Linked DNA regions of Elephas maximus indicus. The protein of the gene in region 2 purifies or fractionates together with the protein of the main gene of each other region. This does not show direct contact. Links are inferred from orthologs where the notes say so. Each region holds a gene or a part of one and is shown on either strand. Other genes may lie near its edges.

Region 1 (7,205 bases), on a different chromosome or scaffold from region 2:
ATTATAATTTATTTCATCCATGAGTTATTTAATACCTTCATCTCCAAACCCTAACTTCTTATTTCTAACTTATTTGCATTTTGGTTGAGAACATGGTCTGTATTATTATCAGTCTTTTAAAATGTATTGCAACTTGCTTCATAGCCTGTAAACCTACTACCATCAAGTCGAGTCTGACTCATAGCAACAGAGTAGAACCGCCCCACAGGGCTCCCCAGGCTGTAAATCCTCATGGAAGCAAACTGCCCCATCTTTCTCCCTCGGAGTGGCTGATGGGTTTAAAGCACCAACCCTTCAGTTAGCAGTCAAGCGCCTAACCACTGCACCACCAGGGCTCCTGCATGACCTACTAGGTGGCCAGTTTTCATAACGTTCCTTGCATGAAAAGCGTCTTCTATAGTTGTTGCCTGCAGCGTTCATTTACTACATCCCCTATGTCCACTAGATCAAGTTTATTCACAGCATTGTTCAAATCCCCTATTTCACGTTTTGTCTGCATGATGTATCAATCACACAATTTAAAAAAATCTCTGCAATTGTGTATTTGTCCTTCTTGTACTTGTCAGTTTCACTTATTTGTACCATATTTTGTAGCCACCCTCCATTTTTACTGATGCCTTTTGCCTTAAAATCTCTCTCTCTCTCTGATACTTATATAAAAAAAAAAATTTTTTTTTTATAGGCTACAAAAAAAACCCCAAAAACCCAAACCCATTGCCACTGAGTCGATTCCGACTCATAGCGACCCAACAGGACAGAGTAGAACTTCCCCATAGGGTTTCCAAGGAGCGCCTGGTGGATTCAAACTGCCGACCTTCTGGTTAGCAGCCATAGCTCTTAACCACTACACCACCAAGAGTTTCCATATAGGCTACACTACACCTTATTTTTAATTAGCATCTATTTTCATTCTTGTCATTTGCAACCTTTCTGTATCCTTACGTATTAGACGGATCTCTTGTAAACTGCATATAATTGGGCTTTTCTTTTTTAATTTAAACTGACAACCTGTCTTTTATCTTAAGCATTTAGACTCTGTATTTAAGTACTGATATACTGGGTTCAAATCTTCCCTTTTGTGCTTCCTATTTGTCCCACTTGTTTCTTTTTCTTTCTTTCCTTCCTTTGGAGTTATTTTTTTTAATATTTCCCCCTCTACTGGTTTGGTATGTTTGTTCTTTTGGTAGCTACCTGAGAAATCACAACGCATCCTTAAACTGATCAAAATTGAATACCTCCTCCCAAACCATAAAGAACCCAACAACACTTTAACTCCACACACTCCTCATATATATATACATATATATGTATATACATACACACACGGAAACCCTGGTGGCGTAGTGGTTAAGAGCTACGGCTCCTAACCAGACAGTCGGCAGTTTGAATTCACCAGGCGCTCCCTGGAAACCCTGTAGGGCAGTTCTACTCTGTCCTATAAGGTCGCTATGAGTTGGAATTGACTCAACAGCAGTGGGTTTGGTTTTTGGTTTTTTTATTTATACACGCACACTTCAAAAAAAAAAAAAAGCCACTTATTTCTAGCGTGGCTTCCAACAATTCATCTCTGGAAAGGAGAATGCTCAATTCTCAACAGTAACTGCAAAAACGGGTACACTTCCGGAGCCAGGACAACCACTAAAGAGGACTCACCTTATTGTTTCCATATTAATTCACTTAAAAAAATAAAGTCAGGCTCAACTTTAAAACCAAACTGCCTAGCTTGTAAATACTAAGTGAAACTTGCTTAGTGTAGTCATTCACCTTTTAATTCTCTCATGTGTTAGTTAGGAGCAGAATTAAATGAACGAATGAAATCATACCCCTAACTCAGTTAAGCTTGGTTAGTTTGGTCTCCCTGGACACCAGACAGCCCAGCCCTGCAAGGTTCTAATCTAACACCAGACCATGAAATCAGGAGCAGATGTTTAACATGCATTAGCTATCTCAGTTAATCCTCACAACATTCTCAGGCACTGTTAACACGATTTTACAGTTGAGGAAAACTGCTGCGAAGTTCGACCTGAGACCGTCTGATTTCAGAACTTTTCACAGAGCTGACAGCACGATGAGCGCTGGTTTGTAAACTTCAAGCTCTAAGCTCGGCCAAGTACAAGCTTTTAACTTGCGGAGGGGGGAGCGCGAGACCGGGGGCAGTCTCGCCGGGCTCCGGAGCCCCGTTAAGCGGATTAAACCTCATCATGAAGTGTTTTGCAAACACTTCCTTCCCTTCCAAGTGCCAACCAAAACTAACAACCAGGATACCCGGTTTCCAACTCTCCCTCGACGACTAATTACAAGAGTTTAATGGAGCCGCACGTGGTCCCACCAGGGCCTCATTTCTGAGCCGCCGCCTCGCAAGGGACTTTCCTGCTCCCCATGCCCAGAATCCAAGTCACTCCAGTCTTCCCCCGCTTCAGACGCCCCTTTACTCCCCAGCACGTGTCACTCGCGGTAGGGACAGGGGCAACCACGAACATCTCCCTCTCGGGAACCCCAGCCATGGGAGCGGGTGTCTGACAGAACCCCAGGGCTCCACGCCATCTTTTAGAAAAAAGATACCAAAAAAAGGAAAAAGGGTGGAACCGGCTTCTTCCGTCAGCCTTTCTACCCTCCCCCACGTGGTCTGGTCTCCTTCCCCGAAGCCCAGGTATGCCCCCGACTAATGCTTAGGCACTTAGGGCTTCCCCAGTTCTCACCCCGGGCCGGGCGGCTGGGATCACGCGGCTGCATGAAGTCTAACCCCGGGCCGGGCGGACGAGACGGCGCACGTTCTAAGCCTGGGCTGCCGGAGCCCCAACCGCGGGCCGGGAGGGCGACGGGGCGCACGTTTTAGGCCCCCGACAGGCCAGCGAGTAAACCGACCCCGAGTCTCTCGATTCCCGGCCCAGCGAACGCACTCACCATGGCTGCGGTTCCGCGGTCTCGTCACTCCTGGAGCAACGCGGCCAAAGCCTGAGCAGAAGCGCTCGCCTCCGCCGGAAAGCTGCACGGAGGAGCAGAAATGGCCGCGCAAACCAGGAAGCGGAAGTAACGTCACAGTGGCGTGGCGGACATCGCAGCCCGTCGGGGGACGTGGGCGCAGAAACGGCGTCAGTTCCGAGTCGGGAGCGGCTTTCAGCTGTTACAATTCTCTACCACCTGTCAGTTTGTGGTGCCCCTGGCTTGCTTGTTGCTAGGATGCTGCAAGCTATCCCACTGGTTTTTCAAATACCAGCAGGATCACCCATGTGTACAGGTTTCAGCAGAGCTTCCAGCTTAAGACAGACTAGGAAGAAAGGCCTGGTGGTCACAGACAAAAATTAGCTAATGAAAACCCTACGAATGTGATCATGGGAATGGCACAGGACGAGGCAACGTCTCCTTCTGTGTATTTGGGGTCACCATGCGTGGGAGCTGACTCCATGGCGACTAGCATTATCATTCTACTTAAAGGAAGAAACAATGAGTTAAACATTAGAAGAAAAAAATGCACTAAAACAAAGGGTTTCAATGGTGTCATCACTCCGTTGCTGGCTTTTTTTTTTTATATAAACACATTTTTGTTGTGCTTTCAAAATCATCGTTCTAAATACACCAGCGAGGGAAGTGTATTGACATAATTATGAGTAATCCTAAATGTTTCCCTTCATTTAAAGCTATGTTTTGTAAAAGTTTCTGGTGGGGAGTGGAGTTGGGATCCACTGAGCAGGGAATTCAAGAGGAAGAGCAGGTTTGGAGGATGGGGGTTCAGCTTGTGTCAGGCTGAGTTTGGAGATGTCTTATGACCTCTCTTTCTCATGGTTAGCATCTCGCCCTTTTCTCTTTGCTGCTCCGAATCTCCATTATGTTGGGTTAAACTCATGCCTCACTACATCCAAGAGGTTCTCTCTGATCCTTCTGGCCTTTCTCATACCTCTACTATTTGGTTGAAGCCAAAACTAGGACATTTTGGGCTAGTTCCCGTTAATGCCTTTGAAAACTGAAAAGTTGAAACCGGGCAGGACCCTTGGGAATCATGCAATGCAAACCTTTCATTTTACAGATGGGGAAACTGAGGCTCAAAGTGGGGAATCTGCTTGTCCATGGCCACAGAGTGAGGTCGTGGTAGAGCCAGAACTGGACCTTGGCGTTTTTGGCTCCTGGCTTCGGTTACTTCCATCATATCTGTTTGCTCTGCTTTATCATATTACGGGATGGGACAACAGGAAGGGTTTGAACTGGCTCCACAACCAAACATTTTTTCCATTAAAGAGTCCCCATCAAACTTCACCTCATGTAAATCTGAGATGACTTGTGAAAACATTGTTTGCAAATTAAGAAATGCCCATTGATAGCTCCTGTTTAAGGATAGAACCTGTGACTTGGACCCTGCTCCGCAGCTCTGTTGGATCCTGTTTCATGTTTCCATGTCAACCGGACTTAGCAGCCACCACTGTTGGGGAAGGAGACATTCTAATTTACAGCCGTAGATGTGTCCTTAACATTTGCTTCTTAGATGTCTTTTTATAACAATTTCTCATTGTTAATTTTGCCTACCTGGCCTCTTGGACCATCATATCCCAGATCTCGGTAACAACTGATATGGAAAGATGTTTTTATGATCGTAAGTGATGACACAGTACACTTTACCTAAGCACCTGATGAATTTTGTTTCCCACCTGTATAATAATTCAACTTCCATGTTCTCTCAGAACCAGTCCATCTTTTTGTTTCTTGGTAAGTCCCTTGCCTATTAAGTTAATATATGATGACATATGTTCAGGATCAATTTGTTTTAGAAATTTGTCTATTACCGTAGAAAACCAAACCAGTTGTCTTTGAGTTTGTCTATTACCATAGAAAACCAAAACCAAACCAGTTGTCTTTGAGTTGATCCCAACACATGGTGACCCCATGTGTGTCAGAGTAGAACTAGGCCCCAGAGAGTTTTCAAATGGCTGAGTTTTTTGAAAGTGGATTGCCATGCCTTTCTTCCAAGATGCCTCTGGGAGCAGTAGAACCACTAACCTTTTGTTACTATCCAAGTGGTTAAATGGTTAATGTGCTCAGCTGCTGACCAAAAGGTTGGCAATTTGAGTTTTTTTTCAGAGGCACCTTGAAAGAAAGGCGTAGTGACCTACTTCCAAAAAAATCAGCTATTGAAAACCCTGTGGAGCATAGCTCTACTCTGACACACGTGGAGTTGCCATGAATTGGAATTGACTCAACAGCAACTGTTTTTTTTGTTTGTTTGTTTTTTTATTCTTGAATTCTAAATTGCCATGGTTTACCAGTGCCCTCTCCACCAGTACTCTCCCACCCTACTCCCATATTACAGCCCCACCCATCTTCTTTTGCTACTGCAAACCCACCCCATTCCATTCTCTCCAAACTGACCTGTCACCCTCTGCTGGGAGTGATTTGCTCCACTGTCCTGGCTTGGCTAACTCCTAGTGGCTATCCCTCCAGTGGAGCCTCCTGATTACCTAGACTGGGCTAAATGCCCCTGCTGGATGTTCCTACAAGCCCCAGTACTTGTCCTTTGTAGCACTCACTTGCCTTGTCTTGATTCAGTCCTGCCTTCCCACGCACACTGAGAGCTCAATGAAAGCAGGGCCTGCAGCTACCATGGGCACTTTAGATAACTGTCCTGGCAGCATGCCTCTCACAAAGGAGGGACTTGTTTCACTTAGGGATCTTTGGGGGCAAGCAACCAAAAAGAGATTTTGATGAAGACTCTGTAATGGATCTCAGAGGTTCAAGGGGAGCTGACTGTGAGAGCTGAATCAGTCCTACAGTTGGTAAATAGCTGATGCCCCTGCCCCGGGGCCCCAGGGACCACTCACCATCCAACAACTGAAGGATTAAGGCCTGGCCCATTCTTATCGGTCGATGCCTCAGCCTGCTCAGTTACCCAGCATTTTAAATATAACTTTTTGGTGGAAGACAGTCATCAGGATAACATGTACTCTCTCACCAACACTCTTCCTGAGATGGGAAAAGTAATTCCTCAACAGGAAATCAGGATACGGTAGGAAGGGATGCTGGGTGGTCAAACAAGAACGTTGTTGTTGGGTGCCGTGGAGCTGATTTCCGACTCAGAGCAACTCCATGTGACAGTGTGGAACTGCCCCATAGGGTTTTCTCGGCTGTAATCTTTATGAAAGTAGATCCCCAGGTCTTTCTTCCACGGTTCCAACCTCTCAGTTAACAGCCAAGTGCTTAGCCATTGAGCCGCCAGGACTCCCTGTTCAATACAGTGTTGGTTAAATTTTTGATAATGGAGAAGCAGATGGACAAATGGATGAAAAGCACTCACAGGAAGAAAGAAATCAAGCAGACCACAGGGTACATCACCCCATCATACATGGTAGAAACTTAATCTCTTCACTCCAGAGGACAGGGATCTTTACAACAAGTTTGTCTTCCCCTTAACCCCTTTTGGTCAGTGTGCCAACACTGTTCTCACCTGCACCCACGCCCAGTGGCTGGAGCTGAGGCGGGGGCACCATGCTCCTTTGTGAGGTGGCCTCAGTGACAAGGGTGCTATGAGGCGGAGGCTACTCCACCCCAACCTGTCTGGGTCAGCCAGACAGGTCCTGCCCTTCAACTCCCCAACACCACCTGCCTGGCCAATGCTTTGCCATGTTGCTGCCACTGCTGGGCGCCTGTGCCCTGGTGGGACCATTCCAGGGTCCGGAGTGGGAGCCAGTGCGGAGCCTGCTCTCCCAAAATGGCAGCTGCAGGGACCCTCGGTGCCTCGGCAACCTACTTGTGCTTTGCCTCTTTCTGATCTGGCAGGCCCAGCACTATTGGCACCAGGTCAACAAGACCCGCCGCAGCCTAAGGAAGGCCATCAAGGTGAGGGGGCCCCAATACCGCCTTCCTACTTCCCTCAGCACTGTGTTTGTCTCAGCCACTCATTACCAAGACCCTGTCAAAACCAAACCCACTGCAATTGAGTCAACCCTATAGAACAGAGTAGAACTGCCCCATAGGGTTTCCAAGGCTGTAATCTCTATGGAAGCGGACTGCCACATCTCTCTCCCACAAAGCAGCTGGTTCTGTGCCCTGTGCCTTTCTGTTAGCAGCCAAGCACTTAACCAGTGCATACCAGGGCTCCCTCAAGATCCTGTAAACAAAAAACCAAACTCGTTGCCCTCTAGCCGATTCCGACTCATAGTGACCCTATAAGACAGGGTAGAATTGCCCCATAGGGTTTCCAAGGAGTGGCCGATGGATTC
Region 2 (7,410 bases):
ATAAAACACAGGTAAACATCCTTCTGGTATTCTCTGCTTTCAGCCAGGATCCATCTAACATCATCAGTGGTATCCCTGGTTCCACACCCTCTTCTGAAACCGGCCTGAATTTCTGGCAGTTCCCTGTCAATATACTGCTGCAGCCATTTTCGAATGATCTTTAGCAAAATTTTGGTTGCGTGATATATTATGATACTGTTCTATAATTTCCACATTCGGTCAGATCACCCTTCTTGGGAACAGGCGTAAATATGGATCTCTTCCAGTCAGTTGGCCAGGAAGCTGTCCTCCATATTTCTTGGCATAGACTAGTGATCACCTCCAGCGCTGGATCTGTTTGTTGAAACATCTCAGTTGATATTCCATCAATTCCTGGAGCCTTGTTTTTCACCAATGCCTTCAGAGCAGCTTGGGCTTCTTCTTTCTGTACCATTGGTTCCTGATCACGTGCCATCTCTTGAAATGGTTGAACATTGACTAATTCTTTTTCGTATAATGACTGTATACTCCTTTCATCTTCTTTTGATGCTTCCTGCGTCATTTAGTATTTTCCCATGGAATCCTTCACTATTGAAACTCGAGGCTTGAATTTTTTCTTCAGTTCTTTCAGCTTGAGAAACGCCAAGCGTGTCCTTCCCTTTTGGTTTTCCATCTCCAGCTCTATGCACATGTCATTATAATACTTTGTCTTCTCGAGAGGCCCTTTGAAATCTTGTTAAGTTCTTTTACTTCATCAATTCTTCCTTTTGCTTTAGACGTTCGAGAGCAAGTTTCAGAGTCTCCTCTGACATCCATCTTGGTCTTTCTTTCTTGTCTTTTCAATGACCTCTTGTTTACTTCATGGATGATGTCCGTGATGTTATTCCACAACTCGTCTGGTCTTCAGTCACCAGTGTTCAATGTGTCAAATCTATTCTTCAAATGGTCTCTAAATTCAGGTGGATATACTCAAGGTCATATTTTGGCTCTCGTGGACTTGCTCTGATTTTCTTCAGTTTCAGCTTCAACGTGCATATGAGCAATTGATGGTCTTTTCCAAAGTCGGCCCCTGGCCTTGTTCTAACTGATGATATTGAGCTTTTCCATTGTCTCTTTCCACAGATGTAGTCAATTTGAGTTCTACAAGATTAGGTTGTGTTTTAAGTCAACCTCTTTTGAGATATAAAACACAGAAGTGAGCAAAGAGACAGGGCGACCCCATACCACCAAGAAATAAGAGCCAGGAGATTAGCATGTCCTTTGGACCCAGGGTCCCGGTGCTGAGAAACTCCTGAACCGGGGAAGACTGGTGACAAGGACCTTCCGCCAGAGCCCATGGAGAGAGAGAAAGCCTTCCTCTGTAGCTGGAACCCTGACTTGGGATTTCAAGCCTCTTAGACTGTGAGAGAATAAATTTCTCTTTGTTAAAGCCATCCATTTGTGGTTTTTGTGTTATAGCAGCCCTAGATAACCAAGACGGCAACCTTATATGCAACACAGCGAAACAATGCCCAGTCCTGCACCACTAATAAAACCAAAACCAAACCAAGCCAAACCCGTTGCTGTCAAGTTGATTCTGACTCATAACGACCCTACAGGACAGAGTAAAGCTGCCCTATAGAGTTTCCAAGGAGCACCTGGTGGATGTGAACTGCCAACCTTTTGGTTAGTAGCCGTAGCACTTAACCATTAGACCAGCACGGTTACCGTGGCACTAATAAAGATGTCAATTATCCCCTATCCTATTGCTGTGCAACGAACTGCTTTTATATGGCCTCTTTCTCCATGGTTTTGTGATGCCTACAAAATGATTGTTGTTGTCAGGTGCCGTCCAGTCAGTCCCAACTCGTAGTAACCCAGTGCACAACAGAACAAAACACTGGGTGATCCTGCGCCATCCTCACAATTGTTGCTATGCTTGAGACCATTGTTGTAGCCACTGTGTCAATCCATCTTGTTGAAGGTCTTCCTCTTTTTCAGTGACCCTTTATTTTACCAAGCATGATATCCTTCTCCAGGGACTGATCCCTCTTGATAACATGTCCAAAGTATGTGAGACATAGTCTCGCCATCTTTGTTTCTAAGGAGCATTCAGGTTGTACTTCTTCCAAGATCGATTTGTTAGTTCTTTCAGCAGGCCATGGTATAAGCAATATTCTTCTCTAACACCACAATTCAAAGGCATCAATTCTTCTTTGGTTTTCCTTATTTATTGTCCAGCTTTCGCATGCATATGAGGTGATTGAAAGCACCATGGCTTGGGTCAGGTGCACTTTAGTCCTCAAGGTGATATCTTTAAAACGTTTTTTCAACACTTAAAGTGTAACCTGCTACTTTGCTAATAAAGCCCGTAAGTGTGAGTATGGTCTGTGAGTTCTGTGTGGCCATTGCAATGAATTACTGAAGCCAGCAGAGAAGTAGCGAGCGCCGTGGGAGGGACAGCTGGCGTCAGAATTGGTACAAATGTTGGTGGGTGGAGGCACGTCTGACCTCCACCTCACAGCCCTTGGCTGTTGATGCTGATAATGATTTACCTGCCTCCTTGTGAAGTCAGACGAGGAGATTTGATGCCCGGATGCCATTCTTACACCTATTAAGGTTTTTTTATTTAAAGAAATAGACAAGTTTACTCTAAAATTTATATGGAAAGGCACCAAAATCAAAAAACCTACTGCTGTCACGTCAATGCCAACTGACAGGAACCTGACGTGTTACAGAATAGACCTGCTTCATAGAGTAATCCTCATGGAAGTCACTCACCAGGCCTTTATTCCATGGCACCAATGAGTGGGTTTGAACCACCAACCTTTCAGTTAGTAGTCGAGTGCAAATCATTTGTGCCACCCAGGGACCTCGCATGGAAACCACAGGCCCTAGAATAACTAAAAATAATTTTTCTGAAGAAGAATAAAATGGGAGGAAGCACTGTACCTGATATGAAGGCCACAACAATCAAGGCAATGTGGTGTTGGCAGAGTGACAGACACATAGATCAACGGAACAGAATAGAGACTTCAGAAATAGATGGTACAGATATGCTCAACTGAGTTTTTGCAAAGGTGCAAGAGCGAGTCAATGGAGAAAAGACAGCCTTTTCAACAACTGGTTTTGGAGCAACTGAACAGACATAGGCAAAAAAAAAAAAAAAAATTAACCTTAAACCTCACACCTTATATAAAAATTAACTCAAAATGGATCTTAAGCTTAAACGTAAGATGTAAATACATAAAACTTTTAGGAAAAAACAGAGGAGAAAATCTTTAGAATGTAGGGCTAGGCACAGAGGTCTTACACTTGACACCAAAATTATAATCCATAAAAAGAAAATTTGATAAATAGGACCACATCAAAATTAAAAATTTTACTCTGTGAAAATCCATGTGAAGAGGCTGAGCAGACAAGCTACAGACTGGGAGAAAATGTTTACAAACCATATACCCAACAGAGGACTAGTATCTAGAATATATAAAGAACTCTCAAAACTCAACAGTAGAAAAGCAAAAACGATGGCATTATAAAATGAGAAAAAGACATGAAAAGACATTTAATGGAAGAAGATATACAGATGGCATATGAACACATGAGAAGTTGTTCAACATCATTAGCCATCAGGAAAAGTATAAATCAAAACTTCAATGAGGTATCATTACACATCTATCAAAATGGCTAAAATAAGAAATAGTACCACCACCAAATGCTGGCAAGAATGCTAAGAAATTGGATTGTTCATACATTGCTGGTGGGAATGTAAAATGGTACGGCCTCTCTGGAAAACAATTTGGCAGTAATTTATAAAATTAAAAATGCAATTATCATATGCCCCAGCAATTGCACTCTTGGGCATTTATTCCAGAGAAATGAAAACGTGTAGGCACAGAAAAACGTGTAGACGAACTGGATAGTAATTTTAGTGGTAATAGCCCCACACTGGAATTAATCTCCATGCCCTTCAACAGGTGAATTGTTAAAGTGCGGTACATCCATGCCTGGAACTCCTTCACCAAACAGGTGTGTCCCTCATTCCTCACCTCCTTTAGGTCCTTACTCAGAAGTCACAGATACATTTATTTCCTTGACCATCTTATAAAAATATTACTCCAACAGTCCGTATTTCCTCCAAGGCATTTATTGCCTGCTAACATTTGTGTTGTTAGCCAAGGCAGGCAGATTTATTGGTAGCTTTTGAAATTTTTGAGATTTGGTAGTGCAGTGCTTAAGAGCTTCGCAGCTAACTAAAAGGTTGATAGTTCGAATCCACCAGCCGCTCCTTGGAAACCCTAGGGGCGGTCCTACTCTGCCCTATAGGGTCGCTGAGTCGGAATCGACTAGACGGCAACAAGTTTGATTTTTGGTTAACATTCAACATGTTTTACTAACTTGTTTGATGTCTGTCCCCGCTCCTTCCACCGCTTCCCACCCCGAGGATGAGCTCCAGGAGGCCGGGGGTTCTGATGTTTTGTTCACTGTTGAATTTCCAGAGCCTGGAACCGTCCCAGGTACATACAAGGATCACAATTTTCAAATATACGAACGGGGGTCCGTGTTCTTGAGGGTGGAAATTGGGCAGGGAAGGCTTTTTGGGTGTCGAGGGGAACCTCAGAGAGTGAGCTAGGAATAGGGGCAGAGGCCACAGTCCATGCGAAGGTCTCCGTTTGAGTCCTGATTACGGAGATGCTCGCCGCGCAGATGGAGCAAGCTTGTTCAGGGAAGTAATCACAGGCAAAGGCTTGGAGAGCAAAGAGCGCGTCGTCGCCAGAAGCCTGGGGAATCCCCGCCCACCGCGCGCGCGCCGGGCCACAGGCGCCGCAGAGGCCCCGAGGGGCGGGGCAGCGTGGTTGCGTCACCACCGTGCGTCGCCGCGCGCCTGCGCTCCTTTCCACGTGCGAAAGCCAGAGACGCGTGGAGTCGGGGTCGCCGCAGACTTGGGAGCCGCGCAGTTCAGCGCTCACCATGAGGCCAGGTGCAGGCCGGGGTTGGGGTTGGGCTCGGGGACTGGGACTGGGCTGGAGTCGGGATGCCGGACCGGAATTGGGGGGCGGGGCCTTGGCGTGGGGGCAGGGGCTCTGAACCTGGGATCCGGTCTCGTGTGGGGCTGGGGTTCTGGTTTTGTGTGAGGCGGGAAGCCTGGTTCCTCCCTGGGATCAATCCTGAGCCCGGGGGGCGGGTTCCTGGTGTGGGGTTTGGGACTGGCTTCGGCGGTCGCGAGCTTGTGTCGAGGGTCTTGGGCCTGGGGTTGGGGGGTCCTGAACTGGGATTTGCCTTATTCGGACCGTCATTAGGCGTCCAGGATGTTGGACCGGGGGCGCCGCTTGGCTCAGTCTGGATGCAGACACCTGAGGTCTTGGCTCTCTCTGGGCGTGGTTTATGGGGATCCGTTTTGGGTCGGGGATGGGCAGTCTCAGATTTTGGGTCCGGGAGCTGGATGTGGGAGGCTCTCCGTTTGCCTTCTCTGTCTGCCCCCACCATCCCCTTGACCCCCCACCCGGCTTCTCGGAGAGCGCCGGGAGTGGATGAGGATCTCCGCTCGGCTTGATAGTCTGCAGCCCGCTCTGAGTCACTTTCCCGCTCTCTAGTCTTCCCGAGAGCCGGTGGCTGGGGATGGAGGGGAGATTGTGGGCCTGCTGATTCCCAACTCCGCGGTGAAGTGAAACTCCACAAGACCAAAACTGGTGGGAGGGGCGGGGAACAGGAGCTAGTCACAGAGAATGGTTTTATTCATTCGGTTTTCCCGAATTCTGATGAACCCATCACGGCTTCTCATGATGGAATGGTGGAAGTCTTGGCTTTGACAGCAGACAGGCCTCAATTCAAGGTTTCATCTCTGGCTCTGCTTATTAATCTCTTGGTGTAACCTTGGGCAAATGGCATTACTTTTTCGAGACTCGGTTTTCTCATTAATAAAATTACGCCCGGTCAGGATTAAGTGAGAGCCTGTAAAATTGAAACAACGCTTGGCATAATTGCTTAGTGTTGGTATCTTGGCTTTCATTGTTACCATTCTCAAGGAGAATAAAATTAGGGTCCTGTCTTAGCTATCTAGTGCTGCTATAACAGAAATACCACAAGTGGGTGGCTTTAATGAGCTCGGCTGCTAACCAAGAAGTCCACAGTTTGAATCCACCGGCTGCTCCTTGGAAACCCTATGGGGCAGTTCTGCTCCTCCTGTAGGGTGGCTATGAGTCGCAATTGACTCCATGGCAACAGGTTTTTTTTTTTTTTTTGGTTAGGAGGCTAGAAGTTCAAATTCAGGGTGCCAGCTCTAGGGGAAGGTTTTCTCTCTCTGTCGGCTGCGGTGAAGGTCCTTGTCTCTTTGAACTTCTGCTCCTGGGCAGTCTTCATGTGGCTTGGCATCTCTCATCCCCCATTTCTGCTTCTCTCCTGCTGAAGCTCTTTTATGTCTCAAAAGAGATTGACCCAAGACACACCCTACACTAATCCTGTCTCAACATAGCAAAGACATCTCATTCCCAGATGAGATTATAGCATTGGTAGAGAGGTTAGGATTTACAACACACAATTTGGGGGGACGCACTTAAATCCATAACAGGTCCTTATGCCTGCTGTCTCAGCTTCTGCCCCTCCCCTCAGGCCCATCCCCCTTCTCCTCCCCCCATGAGAGAACTTGCTTCACTGGGTTTGATCAATCTCCTACCCATGGCCAGAAGGGCCCTTTTTTTGTTCTTGTTGTTTTAAGCACAGGTTTTCCTTTTTGTTTCCTTTTTTTTTTTGGATGTCAAGGAGATGGTGTCATCTGGGAAGGGGGAAATTTGTGGATCCATGCTCCCCTCCCAAACTCCCTTTCTTAGTATTTGGGGATCTGATGGGGTGGATTGGGGGGTGGTGCTAGGCCAGGCATCTCAGTGAGATTCTGGCATGCCTGCAGGCATCCTGTCATCTGTAAATGGTGGATACACTTTCTACCCCAGCCCAGCCTCTTCCGCCTTGTATGGTAGGATGTGAGGCTGTAGAAGTTGTCAGGAGCCAGCTTGTTAGTAAGAGTGTAATCTGAGTGAGAGAGAAAGCCTTTGGTAAACTTTGAGCAGGGATGGGGTACAGTCTGATTAGTATTTCTTAAGGGATTGGCCTTGCTTCTGTGTGGAAGAGAGACTAGAAGGGAGCAAGAGTTGAAGCAGGCACACCAGTGGGAGGTTGCTACTGTAACCCTGAAGGAAGGACATGGTGGCGGCCTGAAGCAGTGTTAGCAGTGGACGTGGCCGAGCAGTGGGACTGATTGGGAATATATTTTCAAGGTAGAAACCCACAGATTGTATGGAGGGTATGAGAGGAGTCAAGGATAGCTAAGGGTTTGGGCCTGTGTAACTGGAAGGATGGAGTTGCTGTTTGCTGAACTGGGGAAGGCTGTGGGAGGAGAGCTGATTTGAAACCAGTGTATTTGTGGAAGGGCCCTCTACAAAAAAAAAACAAACTTCC
Region 3 (7,103 bases), on a different chromosome or scaffold from region 2:
AGCGCCCCTCTTAGCTGGGAAGGAACTCGGGGCTCCAGTGAGGCAGACGGCGGGGGTCGCTCTGCCCAAAGTGCACACTCTTGGGTCACTGTCTCAGATCCCTCCAGACCCAGGTGAAACCACCCTCCCCCACTCGTTGTGAACCGCCTCCTGTGACTAGGGCTGTGTCTGAGGTTTGCGAGGGTAACACAAGTGAGCATGAGGACAGGGGCCATAGCAGCTCTGGGACTGAGGCCATTAGAGCAGAGGAGCCTTGGCCGAAACTGGCCTTGCTCCTCCCCAGGCTCCTGTGTGCTGCCCACCCATGTGCTTACCAGCTTCTGCTCATGCAGGCGGGCAATGCTCATGTGCGTGAGGGTCGGGTCGGCCTCGCTCAGGTCAGTGGCACTGCCGGGTCAGGGGAAGAGTGAGGTGAGGGTGCTGCAGGGTCAGGCTGCTCTGCCCTGCCCTCCTCTCTTGCTCAGTGGCCCCGGGGTGGAGTGGGTGGCTGAGGTCTGCTTACCTGATACTTCTCCCTTTCTGCAACAGCGTCCACACTCCATTGGGGCCCCGATAATCTGGAATGGAAGCCGCCTGCATGTCCAGAAAGAAAACAAGTCTGGTAAAAGGGTCTCACTGTCGGGACCAACTGAATTTCCAAGAACACGAAGCAGGCGTCTCTCCTGCCTCATTCAGGGCCAGCCCATGACTGCCTGTTCCCCTACAGACCCAGCGCCTGACCTGCCTGACGGGTGTACCACCCGTGGCTCCTGCCTTCCCAGACTCCCCCTTCCCCACTGCACCCAGCTTATCCTTCAAGGCTGGAGGAGGCCACCCACTCTGGGAGTCCTTAGCACCACCCACAAACCTCTGCTGTATTGCCATGTCTGCCCTCCACATGGTGGGAAGCACTGCTCAGCTCCTCTGAGTGTCCCCAGGCTGAGCCCAATACTCAGGAAACACCAGCAAGTGGGGGACCCCTAAGTGGGAAGGCTCTTCTGTCCAAATTCTTACACATCTGATCCTTTTATCTCTAAGAGGCTCCTGTTCTACTTTAACAAAACCAGGACAATCTCTCCAGATGAGAAGAAATGCTAGTTTGTTTCCCAAGTTTCCGGTACAGGAAAACGAGCCTATCTGAGAGAAAAGGACAAAGAAGGCTGCCAAAACCCAGGTGCCTGTGCTCTCCGGGCTGAAGGACCTGCCTTCCCATCACACTAATGAGCAGCACCTGGCTTTTAGGACCACTGATAGCTCTCCAAAAGGCCACAGTCCTGTCTTTCAGTAACCACATGACTGAATTGTACATTTGACTGGTAGGGAGGGGGGAAGCCTGACTGCCTGGGCTCCAGGTGCTCACAGGTTAGATCACCGAGAACCTTCCACATTCTCACTACCCCAGTTCAAGGCCACCTCTCCCTAAAAGCCAACCTGAGTTGAGTTTCCCCACTCCCTGACCCCACCGAGTGCAGAGCCTGGATTTGTCACATCCCCCTCACACATTCAACTCCACGTTACCACTGTTTGTTTACACGCCTTGTCACATTAACAACAGGTTTCTCAAAAAACAGGAATCAGTTGGTGTTCACCTCTGTGGGGTGACACGTGCCTGACGCTCAACACAGAACCATCGTATTAGACAGAGTATGTGCCAGTCACACTTCCAAAGCTAGTCATGTCCCACAGCTCCTCAAAAAATCAGGATTCGCATCCTTACAGTCTCACTTTCTATTTTCCTCCAACGTGTAGAAACCACGAAGAAGCCAGGTTCAGGAGTCAGCTGCAGGGGTAGCTCTGCCTACATGACCGTGGGCCAACGGGTTAACCTCCTTCACCGCAAATGAGGAAGTACCTGCAAGCACTAAGCTGTTATGTCCTGTTTTTTCTCCTCTGCTTTTCTTGTCTTTAACCAGGTGTAACAGAGTTCCAGCATCTTTATAGTGTTGGGAGTTTTATGCTCCCTGTTAGGCAGTGCCGTTTGTATTTCTCTAAGAAAGGAAAACACTTTACAGCTGTTCTATTTTGTTTTTCACCCCAGTCTACAGTGCTGAACTCTGTTCTGGGGTGCGTCACCCAGAAGAGGGCGCCCCATGGCCACCCCTGGGACCGGCAGCCACGTGACCCATGGAGCGCGCGCTCTCAATTTCTCTGGGGCCAGGAAAAGTCCTATGAGTCAGAATCGACTCCACGGCAACGGGTTAGGGGAAGAGTCCGGAGGGCGTGGGGTGACCCGGGGCGCAGCTGTTCACCCGTCCCTACCGTGCTGATCCCTGCGCCTGTGTAGACAACCAAGTATTTGGAGTTCCTGACGGCGCTGGCCAGCTCCTGGACTTTCCTCCGCAGCTCTTCCGGGTCATCGCATACCTGCGAAGACGCCGAGACTGGTCATGGCCCTATCCTTCGCTCTTGCCCCCCACCCCAGGAGCTGAAAAAGCCGGGCCAAGCAATCCCAGGCAGATGACAGCTACGGCAGGAATGCCGTCTGAGACACGCTGGGAACGAGGCCTGACACGAAGCACGCTCTGGACTACGAAGCGCTCCCATTCCTCCGATCCACGCCGGCACCCACGTTTGCTGTCACCTCAGGAGAGGCGACGGGGCATCGGGCCAACCGAGTGGCCCGGACCGGCCAGCGCAGAGCGAGAAGCACGCCCTCGGAGCGCCGCGCCCGTCCGGCCCGCGGGACTCGCCTCCTCCTGGCGCCGCTTCAGGCCCTCGCGCCGCCGGCTCCGGCCCTGCAACTCTGTCACTAGGTCCTCGCTCTCAGCCAGCAGCCGACCTTCCTCTGCGCTGCGCTCAGTGACCGCCTTCCTCAGGATGCGGGACACCTGCGGACGCGTGGGCGAGCGGTCAGGGTCGCGTGGGGCCTGGCCCGGGCGGGGCGCGGGCGGTGGCCTACCTGGCGGAGGCGCTCCCGCTGCTGCTCCTCCCGCAGCCTCCGGACTCGCTCCGCCGCCTTGCGCTCGGAGCGGCTCAGACCGCCGGCTGCCATCGCTCCCCGGCACCTGCGCTTCCGCTTCCGCCTCGCCGGCAGCCTCGTGCCAGGCGCATGCGCGCGTCAGGCCCCGCCCCTTCCGGCCCCGCCCCATCAGCCCGCACCTTCCAGCCCAGCCGCAAAGAAGCACCTGCCAGTCTCTTTAAAAGGTGTTTATTGATCATATACAAAATAAAGAAAACCTTATATATCACAAACATACACTATGTACAGCAATAAATACCCGGGGGGCCCGGCCCAGCGCCGCCCCTCCTGGACAATAATTTAGCAATAAATACTGCGCAGGGCGGGTGGCGGCCGCAGGCCGGCCGCTGCCCCGAGCGGCGGCCCCACGCCCGGCCAGCCCAGCCCGCTCTAACCCCCACCGTCCCGGCCACAGCACTGGGCAGGGTCTCACCAACTCCCTCCGACCCCTCTCAGCGCCACAAGGGCGGCAGAGCCGGACACCAGGCAGCCCTTGTCCTGTTGCCCTAAGTTGCCAGGAGGAGCTTTCTGTACCCACTCCCGTTTGGTTAAAGGCTTCGGGACTAAGCAGGGTGAGGGATGTGGAGGGGGCGGGGAAGGGCAGGAGGTGGCTAAGGGGGCCAAAACCCAACTGGCGTCACCCAGAACTGGGAGATGTCATAGTCCACCGGGCTCCGACCCACAAGACACCCAGTGCGTAGAGGCTGCTACTCCTAGGGGTGGGTAGAAATTGGTGCCATTGGCACTCAGGTGCCCCACCTGCCCAGGACACATACTACATAGCAGAACAGGCTATAGGCAGTCCCGCGGGCACACTCCCACCTCCGCATGGCACCCACCATGTCCTCCACACTCCTCGGCTGCTCCAAAGCCACTGATAGCCAGCAGGAAGAAAACAAGCAACACAAAGAATTATTCAGTGGCTTCTGGGGGGAAAAATCGTTAATGTGTTGGTTCCTTTCACCAAACCACAGCCTAAAAAAATAACTCACAAGATCCCAGAGCGGAAACAGCCCTGCAGGCTGTGGCTCGGCTTTCCAGCTGCAGACAGGGAGCTGTCGAGAGGGAGGTACAGCCAAGGGGCCACTCCAGAGAGGCAGGCAGCAAGGCAAGACAGGGCCTGACCAGGTATCCCAGGGCAGGCTGTGGCTAGTCAGTGCTATGGCCAGGCACTGAGACCAGAGGATGCTGACAAGTGGGCAGACCTGAGGCACGGACCCAGAGCAGAAAAGCCTCCAGCCTCCAGGGAGGGCAGGTGCCCAGCAAATACACCAGTGCCACACAGAACCACCAAAGAGCAGCAGCTGGGGATGGGGAGGCCCTGTGAGGTCAGACACTTCGAGCAGAGCTGGCCTGTTACTTCAGGGTTGTTTTCAGAAACCCGAGTGTCCATGTTGGGATAAGGGTGCAGCTGGGGCAAGTTCAGGGTCAGAAAGGGATGCGCATCTTGGTTTACGTAGCGGACAAGTTTGAAGACTTGGCCTCGGCCCAAGCCTCGACTCGCTGTGTCAGGAAAGTTCAGGAGAGAAAGGAAAAAACAGAACACAACACGTTCACGGTAGAAAACTCAATCAACAAAGGATTAGACAGACACAAAACAGTTACACGTGGACACGGATCTAGTGCCAAGAAACCAAGGGAAAAGGGCAGAGGGGCAGAGGGGCAGAGCAGCCCCTTAGGGCTGGCTTGGCAGGACGGGAAGGCTCCCGCAGACCCAGAACAGTGGCTTCAAGTCCAAACACCATGAATGCAAGCACGGCATTCTCACGATGTCACTCACTCCAGAGCAGCTTCTTCCACAGGCTGAGTTAAGGACCGGTACCTGCTGCCACAATGCTCACCATCAAGCCCTTCCTCGCCTCACCCACTTCCTGCCTCTGCTCTCCCAGCTGGCCGTATGTGGCCTGCAGAGGCACTTAGAGATAGACGACAAGCTCCCACGCCAATGACAAAAGTGAGAACAGAGCAAGGGAATGGAAGGTCTGTCCTCCTCGCTCCACCACATCACACCCTCTCTTTCAGGCTCCTGGTGATACAGCTGGAACTCACTGCTACATCACCACCCTGGCAATGCAGCCTGGACCCGAGAGGGACAAAGCCCGACGCCAGGGAGGGCTTAAACCATGGAGGGACTTGGAGTCACAGAGCTGTTTGTGGGCCAGCCAGGAGCATCTGAGCAGAGCCCCAGAGAGGCTACACCATGTATGGCACGTGCCTGCCACGACCGCAAGCACGTGTGTGGCCACACTCGCTGACAAGACACCACTGCCTCAAGGCTGTCCCGGGTGCCCGCCTCGCTTCTTACTCTCCTCAGCAACCCTCACCTGTATTCTCTAGCGCTCTGGAGATACGGGCCAGCAACCCTGGGAGAAGCCAAGCCCCCGTGGCCAGAAACAGAGCTGCAGCATCTCAGGCCATGCTGTGAGCCGACCCAACACACCCTACCAGGAGCTTCCCGTACCAAGGCTGGAGGGTCATCTGCCCGTCCAGTGGCCAGCATGGGGAGGCAGCAGCCCTGGCTTGAGCGGAAGTGCCTCTGAAAGCCAAGCAGCTGGTCCCTGGAAGACAAAGATCCCAAAGGGAGGTGGAAGAAGGGCCTGGAGCTGAGAGCTGTAGGCCTGCACAGGGGGAGGGGGGAAGGGCCCAGCGTTGAGGTCATAGCCCTTGCTGGCACTGATAGAGACCCGCTCCCCAGGCCCTTGGGGCGAGGCAGGGATACGAAGAAGCCCTGCTCCTGGGGAAGCACCACCCCAGCCCTGAAACACTTCTGGGACAAGTGGGCGGTGGGGTCATAGCCCCCCGTGTTGGCCCAGCAGCTGACAGAGGTCACGAGGGAAGCCCAGGAGCAAAGCTGAGGCCAGACCTGTGCTGCTGATAAGAAACAATGAGGAAGACAGATGGGGCAGCTGGGCCACACCCCATGGGCACCCACAGTGACTCCTGGGTCCCTGCCAGGCCACCGCCCAAGGCCAGAGGCAGTGGACATGGAGGCAGTACGGGAGGCCACTGAGAGGCCCCCAGTTCCACCTGCCCTGTCACTGGCCCAGCCCAAGTCCTAGAGACACAAACGCACTCTCACACACACGCACACGCAGGAAGCTGAGGGTCAACAGGGGTGGGGAGCAGAGCCCAGTGTCTGCATCCAACATACACCTAGAGCAAGGCCAGGCCACCAAGGGGTACAGGGTAGCGTGGGAAGAAGGAGAGGCCGTGCTGCCCAGCACCCTGGCCCGGCAAGCCAGCAGGTGCAAGATCACAACCAAGTCCCAAAAACAAACACGGGGGAACAGATACGAGAAGTGACACCCACAGGTCAAAGGTCACCAGAAGCACCAGCACGTTACGGCCACACAAGACCTCACCAGGCACAACAAAACCACGGCACCGGCAAGAGACGGAAGCAGATAGGGCAAGGCCTAAGTCACTTTCGGTACAATTGCAAAAGAGATATCAAAGGGGACGTTAGGACGCGCCTGGGGGGGTTCGCGGTTTGGCTTTTTTTTTTTTTCTTTTTTCTGTCTTTTTTTAAACTAAGTTTTATAAATAATGTCTGATAACTCTGTGTTTATAAAAACTAAACTCCAACAGCCACAAAGAGTTGTCCATAAATTTACAAGAAAGGGCTTTTTTTTTCTTTTTTTGAACTACCAAAGCTTCTGTTACGCTTTCTTCCCTTTTCCACTGACAGGGTCAAATGCTCTTCTTGCCTTTTTTTCTTTTTTTTTTTTTAAAAAGACAGTTTTATAAATACTTTGCAGCTTTTTTTTTTTCTGTAGCTTTTAAACATATAATTTAATAACTTCGTAAAAGGAACTTACTCTCTCTTTTCAGGGCTATTTAACCACACAAACAGATCATGTAAACAGTGACACAGGACCCACCGAGAGGATACACTGGACACACCCTTCACAGACGCACACAACCAGTGATTTTGGTCTCATTCAGTGCAATACGTTAGGTCCGAGCGCTGCACCTGTGGCCCACAGCCTCACCATGTCCTGGCTGCTGGGCCCAGCTGGGCTCAGCCCGCAGGGGCCTCACAGGGGGCACACCTGCTCTTCAGAGCGGGGCCAAGCTGCCCGCGGGTCTGTCTAGAAGGAGTCACGCAGCGCCCCCCTCCAACCAGTGGCAGCAGTCAGGGGCCTCCTACTGGAGGGCCCCTATT
Region 4 (7,779 bases), on a different chromosome or scaffold from region 2:
GAATGAAATGTTTGACTTCTAATCCTGGTGCTTTCCTACTTGATTTTTAGAGCAGAATACAACTTAGATACACATTGGAGTGATTTATGAAACTGATTTAGTTTCTGTTTCTGAATTCAATATTATGTTGTGTTCATATCAACTAATCCATAAATAATCATTGTTTAAAAACTGACTAAAGTCAGAGTAAATTTTTCTGGAAACCAAAGAGAAAATGGCCAATTTGAATTAAAAGAATACATGAACTTTCCAAGGGGAAACATTAAATAGAAATATCGATAAACACAATATTTAAGTCAGTGTATCTTATATAACTTGTCCTACAAATTTGGAACATAATGACAGTCATATATCCCCTCTTTTCCCTCTGAAATAAAAAGTTTGATCCTAATTATGGATGAAATTAGTAGTCTAATCATTAATGAGAAATGATCCAAATATAGTAATTTGAGTGTACATCCCTAACGAGATATAATCTGGAGACAAAAAGAATTCAGCTTTTCAACTGTTCCAACTTTTTTTTTAATTATTTTATTTTTTGTTCTTGTTGAGAATGTACACAGCAGAACATACACCAATTCAACAATTTCTACATGTACAATCCAATGACATCTATTACTTTCTTTGAGTTGTACAACCGTTCTCACTCTCATTTTCCAAGTTGTTCTTCCTCTGTTAAAATGAACTCACTGCTCCTTAAATTTCCTATCTAATATTTTGAGTTGCTGTTGTCAAGTTGATCCCACACAGACCTTAAAAGAGCACCATGTTCAAGGCAGACATTCTTTACTAATTAAGCTAAATTCTCAACATTATTAATAACAATAATAACATTGGTACTGTTACCCTGAAACTCTTATACACTGGTACTGTCTTAGCTATCTAGTGGTGCTATAACAGAAATACCACATATGGATGGCTTCAACAAACAGAAGTTTATTTTCTCACATCTAGAAGGGTAGAAGTCCAAATTCAGGGCTCCAGCTCCAAGGGAAGACTTTCTCTGTCAACTCTGGAAGAAGGTTCTTATCATCAATCTTCTCCTGAACCAGGAGCTTTTCAGCACAGTCCAAAGAACAAGTTCTTCTCCGGGCACTACTATTTTGATGATATGAGGTCCCCATGTCTTCCTACTTATTTCTTTCTTTTATATCTCAAAATACATTGATTTAAGACACAATCTAATCTTGTAGATTGAGTCCTGCCTCATTAATATAACTACCTCTAATCCTGCCTCTTTAACATCATAGAAGTAAGATTTACAACACATAGGAAAATCACATCAGATGACAAAATGGTGGACAATTGCACAATACTAGGAATCATGGCCTAGCCAAGTTGACAGATATTTTGGGGCGACATGATTCAATCCATAACAAGTATAAACCAGCATCAGTTGCCTTCAAGTTAGTTTTGACTCAGGGTGATCTCATGTTTGTCAGAATGGCACTGTGCTCCATAAGGTTTTTGATGGTTGATTTTTCAGAAGTAGATTGCCAGGGCTTTCTTCCAAGGAACCTCTGCATGGACTTGAATCTCCAACTTATTGGTGAGCAGCCGAGTGCCTTTACTGTTTGCACCACCCAGGGACTTCAGCAAGTAATAAAGCATATAAACATTTTATTATCTTTTTAATGTCTGTAGAATCAATAGGATGTTCCCTTTTTTATTCCTAATATTGCTTATTTGTACCTTCTCTATTTTCTTTTGAACAGTCTCACCAAGAGTTTATTAACTTTATTAGTAATATCAAAGAACCAACTTTTGGCCTTCCCGATCCTCTGTATTGCTGGTTTCCTTCTGGTACACCCTTAGTCTTAGGGTGCAACTCTTAGGTGTTCCATTCCAAATTTTGAGGGGTTTGCTAGGCCTTCCATGCTTGATGGATCCAGTGTTCAACTCGTGCCCCCTACAGCACTTTTCAGCCTCTTAGCCACCTCTTCTGTAGTTGACAAATGCCACAAGGGGAAAAGTGGCACCAAATTTTGAGCTCATCTCCTTGGAGTCCCCTGCTCTCCAAAATCTTGGGCTTCTTCATTATGTTGTTAACTTTTAGAGGACCTCATGCAATTTTTAAGAAATATTTTATCCAGCTTTTACAGTTGCCCACAGCAGTAGGTCTAGTCCCATTACTGAAAGTAGTTCATAGCTTTACTTTACAAAATTAATGTTCACTTTACTTCTCTTTTAAGATTGTTTTTAAAACAATATCACAAAATCATTTAAATTAGTGTTCCTCAAATTGCTTTTCTTGGTGGTCTAGAAAAGGTGGGCAGTGACGTGGACAATACATGTGTTCAATAAAGCGGCAACAATCAGCAGATCAGAGGGACTGCAACACTAGCTTATGCCAGAGCAAGGGAAGACAGAGTTGTGGGCAGCAGTCCAATGATTGTGTGAGAACGAAAAACCCCATGCCCAACCTCTGGGGAACAACGAGGGAGGCTGTGTGATCGTGGCACTGAAAACAAACAAACATACCCGTTGTTACATAGATGAGAATGTTAATTTATTAATTTAAAATGAGGCTCATTACAATCACTCAAATACTGACTGGTGTTGCTGTTCTGAAAACGTGCCAGACCGTTGGGACTAAGTGCCTTCCAGGACTTCCAGCAGGCAGCTTGTTGAGGCTGGTTTATATAGGCAAGATCATTTACAAAATACAAGATGGCATGTGCGGTGGTGGTGAGCATTCCAGAATGTGTAAGCATTTTCTAGGGCCTAGGTTGGATTCCCTGTGCAAGAGAAGTTAGCCATTTCTGTTCATTAGCATGTCAGCTCTCCCGTGACCTGGGGACTGAGACAATTAACGACCTAAAGGTTACCTAGAGTGCCAGTTTGGAGGGCAGGACCTGTTTCAGCCGATTCCAGCTAGCTGGTTGCTGTTTCTTTTCAAGGAAGTTCTGAGGAGAAAAACAATTTCAGGAAATGGGCTGGGTGAGGGACTGTCCAGAGGAGACAAAAATTTTAAGAAAATGGCTTTAAAAAAAACAAAATTAGCCCTGTTTTATTAGCACCTTGAAATACTTTAACTCCATCATTGCCTCATTCCATTCATTCATTCCTTCATATATGGAGCCCTTACTATGTGCCAGACACTAGCCTAGTGCTGGGGTTCCAGCAGTGAACTTTCATGAAGTTTGTATTCTAGTTTGGAAAAAGAGTGGGGGCTTTAGGGGTGGGGAGAGGACAAGAGAGCCATGTTTCTTGTCCCTGTCATTACACAATGTTCAGCCACTACTAAAAATACAAGCCCTCTGGTTGTTTATACCCTATGTCCTATTCCTCACACTGCTTTGTGTTTTCTCCCCTTGACCTAGTACTTTCTTTAATATTGAGGCTCTGACTTTTCCCTTGCAGAAAGGAATTCCCGGACAATTATTGGCCAAGATCCAAATCCAGTATCAGAAGCAGCTCTGAATTCCTGACTAATACATCATATTGAGCTGATTATGTAAATGGCAAAGTGAAAGAACAACTTCAAGGAGATGCCACAGTAAAGTGATTTGTCATTGAATAAGGGTTAGTTTCATTTGCCTTTGAGTAAAGGCTGCAAGGCTTTAGATACAAGGAAAACAATTTTACTTTCTGTAGACATTTAATCAATAAATGTTTAATAATTACTTAATGGGAAACCCTGGTGCCGTAGTAGTTAAGTGCTACAGCTGCTAACCAAAAGGTCGGCAGTTCGAATCTGCCAGGCGCTCCTTGGAAACTATGGGGCAGTTCTATTCCGTCCTATAGGGTCGCTATGAGTCGGAATCGACTCGACGGCAGTGGGTTTTGTGGAATTACTTAACGAGATTCTATTTTACAAGTGTAAGACCCTGTATAGATACAAGTGTGTTTAAGATACAGACTATACTGTCTCGCATATGGCACTTCCGCTAGGGAGACTAGACAGAAACATACTCTGAAGTTATATAACACTTCAAAAAGACCCAGCGCTTCCACCTCATCCACCCTACCCCCACTCCCCTAGTCAAACCATTTTAATTTTTCTTGCCTTTCTGAAGAGGCCATCATCAGCAATGCTCTTGTGTGCACCCTAGATCCCCTTCTCCCTTCATCCTGCCTCATCCCTCTTTTCTGTTTTCAACCCAGGTTTTCTTTCCTCTTGCTTCCAGGTTGCAGTTATAGGGGAAAATTACATCACTTAGTGCTGTATAACCTTGAGCAGGCTACAATCGAATGTTTACAATCTGCATATGGGGCCTGGGAAGTGAGGAAAGAAATTTTACTCCTATTGGAAAACAGAATTGGGATATTTAAGTCCAGTTACTAAATTACATTAAGACAAGGAGGCTAGGTCTAAATTCATACCCTACGTAATTTTTGCAAATGCAACAAAAATGGGGAGAGATCCACTTTATATCTGAAAGAAATCTACGCTGAAAATTAGTTTAGCCAGAGAGAAGAGAACGGCCGGGAGTGCTCGCAAATACAGTTAAGAGTGATGAGACCTTCAATTCAAGGCAGGGAAAAACAGTAAAGTCTAGCGGCACTAGCTAGCATTTCCTAAATTCCAGACGCCCCAGGCAGGTAGGGCCGACGTAGCCTCGCACTCCTCTATAGGTAAAATACAGCACCTATGGAGGTAAAAAAATTAAACGAAGCTTTTTTCTTCATTTTACCACACGACCTAGCCGTAAAAAAACTCCGTTCGCCTCCTATGAAATCTCGCGATAATTTCATGACCCCACCCCCCACCCCCCCTTCGGCGGGAACATTCCGGAAGTGACGACACGGACCAATCGGCAGTGACGTCGCTAGCCTAGAAACCTTTGCTAGGGGGAAGCGCGTTCTTGTGTTCTATCTGCAGTACAGTGTGGAACGTTGAGACAACGTGGTCTGAGAATTTGGGTGGTGGTGTGCGCGCCTTTGCATTTCCAGCAGCGGCCTTGCGGGTCTTTGGGGCTGCAGATTGGCCTCTTTCCACCGATATCGGAGTTCGTGGTGGGCCGCGCGGCTCCTTGACCAGCCCTCACCATGTTGGTGCTGTTTGAAACGTCTGTAGGGTACGCCATCTTTAAGGTAGGTGAGATTGGGTCGTTGGAGAAACGAGAGAGAAGGCCAATGTTGGGCAGGCGAGGGAGCGAAAGACCTGAAGAGAGGACGAGACTGTTCAGGATTGCGTGGGTGCCTTTATGTGCCCAGGCTCTGAAAGGAAGGGAAAGACTTCAGGCTTGGGTGGACCATGTTCCAGTGAACACGTGGCCCCGCCGTTTGGGCGGGTTGGACGCGTTGGAAAGGTGGGCAGGAGCGGTATTATCCAAGCTTTTCATCTTATGATAAGGAGTTCTGATTTTATTTTGAGTGCTTTCAGAAATCGTTGGAAGGTTTTAAGCAAAGGAAAGACCTGATCTAATTTATCTTTCAGTATGTTTGCTGTGTGGATACTAGATTACAGGGAGCAGTAAAGGAAGCAAGGAAGTTTTTGCATTAATCTAAACAAGATAAAATGGCTTGAATTAAGGTTGGTATGGAGGGAAACAACGAGAGAAGTTTAGAAGATAGAACTGCTGATGGAGTGAGTGGATTTTTGTTTTAAGTAAGTGAGTGCACCGTGGTGCCGTTTACCGAAGTGGGAAAGATTGGAAGGGAAACAAAGTTGTGGGTTTTGGGCGGTTCAGGGGCACTAAAGGGTTCTGGCTTTGGCGATCTGTTAGAAGTGGAAGTGCAGTTGTTACGTAGATCCAGCAATTCGATATTTCAAATTCGACGTTTAGGGGAGAAATCTGGATTGGTGATACCAATTTGAGACGTGTTCATCAGCACAGGAATGGGACGTTCGTACAGTGGAAAACTATGGAGATGCTAAGAATAAGAAGAACGAGGTTAGACTGAGGGCCTTCCAAGTGCCAGGCACTTTGCTCTGAATATTGCGGTTGAGTCGGTTCCGACTCATAGCGACCGTACAGGAAAGAGTAGAACTGCCCCATGGGGTTTCCAAGGAGCGGTTGGTGTATTCGAACTGCCGTCCTTTTGGTTAGCAGCCGTAGCTCTTAACCACAGCAAAGTTTGCACATATATGCTACGTTGATATATACTGATATAAAGCAGAAAGTCCTAGATAAGACATACATAAGTGCGATTCCAGTTGTGAATCAAGAAACGCTTCTATGTATATTGTATGGACGCAGAAAGTTTGAAAAGTATATACCAAAATACGTGGGAACGGAGAACTTTTCGCTTTCTAGTTCTCTATTCCCGGAATTTGAAAATACACTTCAGTTTGCATTTGTTACATCAAATACTTGTTATTTTTTAATAAAATAATAATAAAAAACCAAAAGGTGACTGCATGTTTTTCCTGTCACTGGGATTATCTGTAATTGCAGTATTCGCAGTTTAATGGACTTTTAAGAGACCCTTATTCCACTTTAAAGTCCTAGAACATCTCTATTTTGTTTTTCCCACCTTTTTAAAATATTTCCTAAACTCTTAAGTACAGTTCTGAACATACCCCAAATTCTCTTAGCCAAATTCTCTTAGCCAGTAGGGTCTGTCAAATTCTGAATCAGGGCATGTTGATGAACTTTCATTGCAAACAATTATGTATACAATTCTGAATTGGATGCTTAGAGGAACTCCTCATTAGTCAACTTGTCTCCAAATGTAGGAAGGAATTGGCCTAGCAGTAAATTGACTGGTTTCTAGACAGGGGTCATAAAGCATTCAACTTTGTCTCTTGATGATTTAATAATTTCTGTTAATGAAGAGTATCCTGCTCCACAAAGTAAGTCTTGAATGTTCTGTTGCTGTTTTCAGTTACAGTTCAAAATTAAGTTGTTTATATAGTCTCATAATTAGAGAAATAAATTGTCAGGCTTGAGTATATTGAAATTTTTATTTCATTTATAGTTTGGAATTATAGTATTTACCACTTGATTCTGAGTAAAAAGAGACATACAGAATATTCTGGAATTAGATTGTGGTGATAGTTGTACAACTAAAATTATACTGGTTGCATAAAATTTATGCTTTTATGGAAATGCTCTAAGGTGTTTTCCAGATTTTTTTTTATCTTGATTCACAGTAAAGAATATCTTTTATATCATGGCCCCAGTGTACACATACATATCCGTATAATATACAGTGTGATTCAAAATAATTAAATACCTTCGACAATTGATTACTCTGTAGCTAGGTTATATATGAAAGTAAAGTCACATTAATATGTAAAACCAAAAAACCCATTGCTATCCATTTGATTCCGACTCATAGCAGCCCTATAGGGCAGAGTAGAACTGCCCCCTTGGGCTTCCAAGAAGCAGCTGGTGGATTTGAACTGCTAATCGTTTGGTTAGCAACCAAACGCTTAACTGCTGCACCACCAGGGCTTGAATATGTAAAGGAACTATTGTAGTTATTTCTAGACTTGCAAAGACTCGATTTGGGTCAGTTGTCATAATGTGAACACAACATAAGACTCAAGACATCCTTTAGTCTTACTTCATCTCAGACCTTTTGTGGCTGTGATGTCCATTATGGTAGCCACTAGGCACGTGTGGCTGTTGAACACTTGAAATGTGGCTAAAGTGACTGAGGAAATTTATTTTATTTAAATCTAAATAGCTACATTGAACAGTGGAGCTGTGTAGCCTGTCATCCATCATGTGTCCGTTGTTTCCTCGAAGTTTTGGGAAAAGATACTTTTGATGTACAAAACGTTCATATGTAACTTACTGAGCAATATATTTTTTCAAGCTTTATTGAGGTATAATTTATATGCTTTATAATTCACCCATTATAAATGCACAGTTTGATGCCTTT

Evidence for each region.
Region 1: the proteins of FBL (region 2) and SNU13 purify together in Homo sapiens (affinity purification with mass spectrometry; 5 studies listed by BioGRID and IntAct, with this or other methods). This does not show direct contact. The link is inferred for Elephas maximus indicus from reciprocal best matches to the Homo sapiens genes FBL and SNU13.
Region 3: the proteins of FBL (region 2) and SIRT7 purify together in Homo sapiens (affinity purification with mass spectrometry; 3 studies listed by BioGRID, with this or other methods). This does not show direct contact. The link is inferred for Elephas maximus indicus from reciprocal best matches to the Homo sapiens genes FBL and SIRT7.
Region 4: the proteins of FBL (region 2) and NOP58 purify together in Homo sapiens (affinity purification with mass spectrometry; 7 studies listed by BioGRID and IntAct, counting the BioPlex papers as one, with this or other methods). This does not show direct contact. The link is inferred for Elephas maximus indicus from reciprocal best matches to the Homo sapiens genes FBL and NOP58.

Annotation. Positions count from the first base shown.
Region 1 is NC_064822.1:185,823,436-185,830,640, forward strand, and holds the start of SNU13 (NHP2-like protein 1), read right to left. Parts: upstream 3,021-7,205; 5' UTR 2,908-3,020; coding exon 2,905-2,907; intron 1-2,904.
Region 2 is NC_064829.1:111,675,928-111,683,337, forward strand, and holds the start of FBL (rRNA 2'-O-methyltransferase fibrillarin), read left to right. Parts: upstream 1-4,403; coding exon 4,404-4,475; intron 4,476-4,779; coding exon 4,780-4,939; intron 4,940-7,410.
Region 3 is NC_064837.1:71,705,600-71,712,702, forward strand, and holds the start of SIRT7 (NAD-dependent protein deacetylase sirtuin-7), read right to left. Parts: upstream 3,002-7,103; 5' UTR 2,972-3,001; coding exon 2,879-2,971; intron 2,808-2,878; coding exon 2,670-2,807; intron 2,344-2,669; coding exon 2,239-2,343; intron 574-2,238; coding exon 503-573; intron 388-502; coding exon 315-387; intron 1-314. UniProt on the Homo sapiens protein: NAD-dependent protein-lysine deacylase that can act both as a deacetylase or deacylase (desuccinylase, depropionylase, deglutarylase and dedecanoylase), depending on the context. Specifically mediates deacetylation of histone H3 at 'Lys-18' (H3K18Ac).
Region 4 is NC_064824.1:101,105,848-101,113,626, forward strand, and holds the start of NOP58 (nucleolar protein 58), read left to right. Parts: upstream 1-4,773; 5' UTR 4,774-4,992; coding exon 4,993-5,037; intron 5,038-7,779. UniProt on the Homo sapiens protein: Required for the biogenesis of box C/D snoRNAs such as U3, U8 and U14 snoRNAs. Part of the small subunit (SSU) processome, first precursor of the small eukaryotic ribosomal subunit.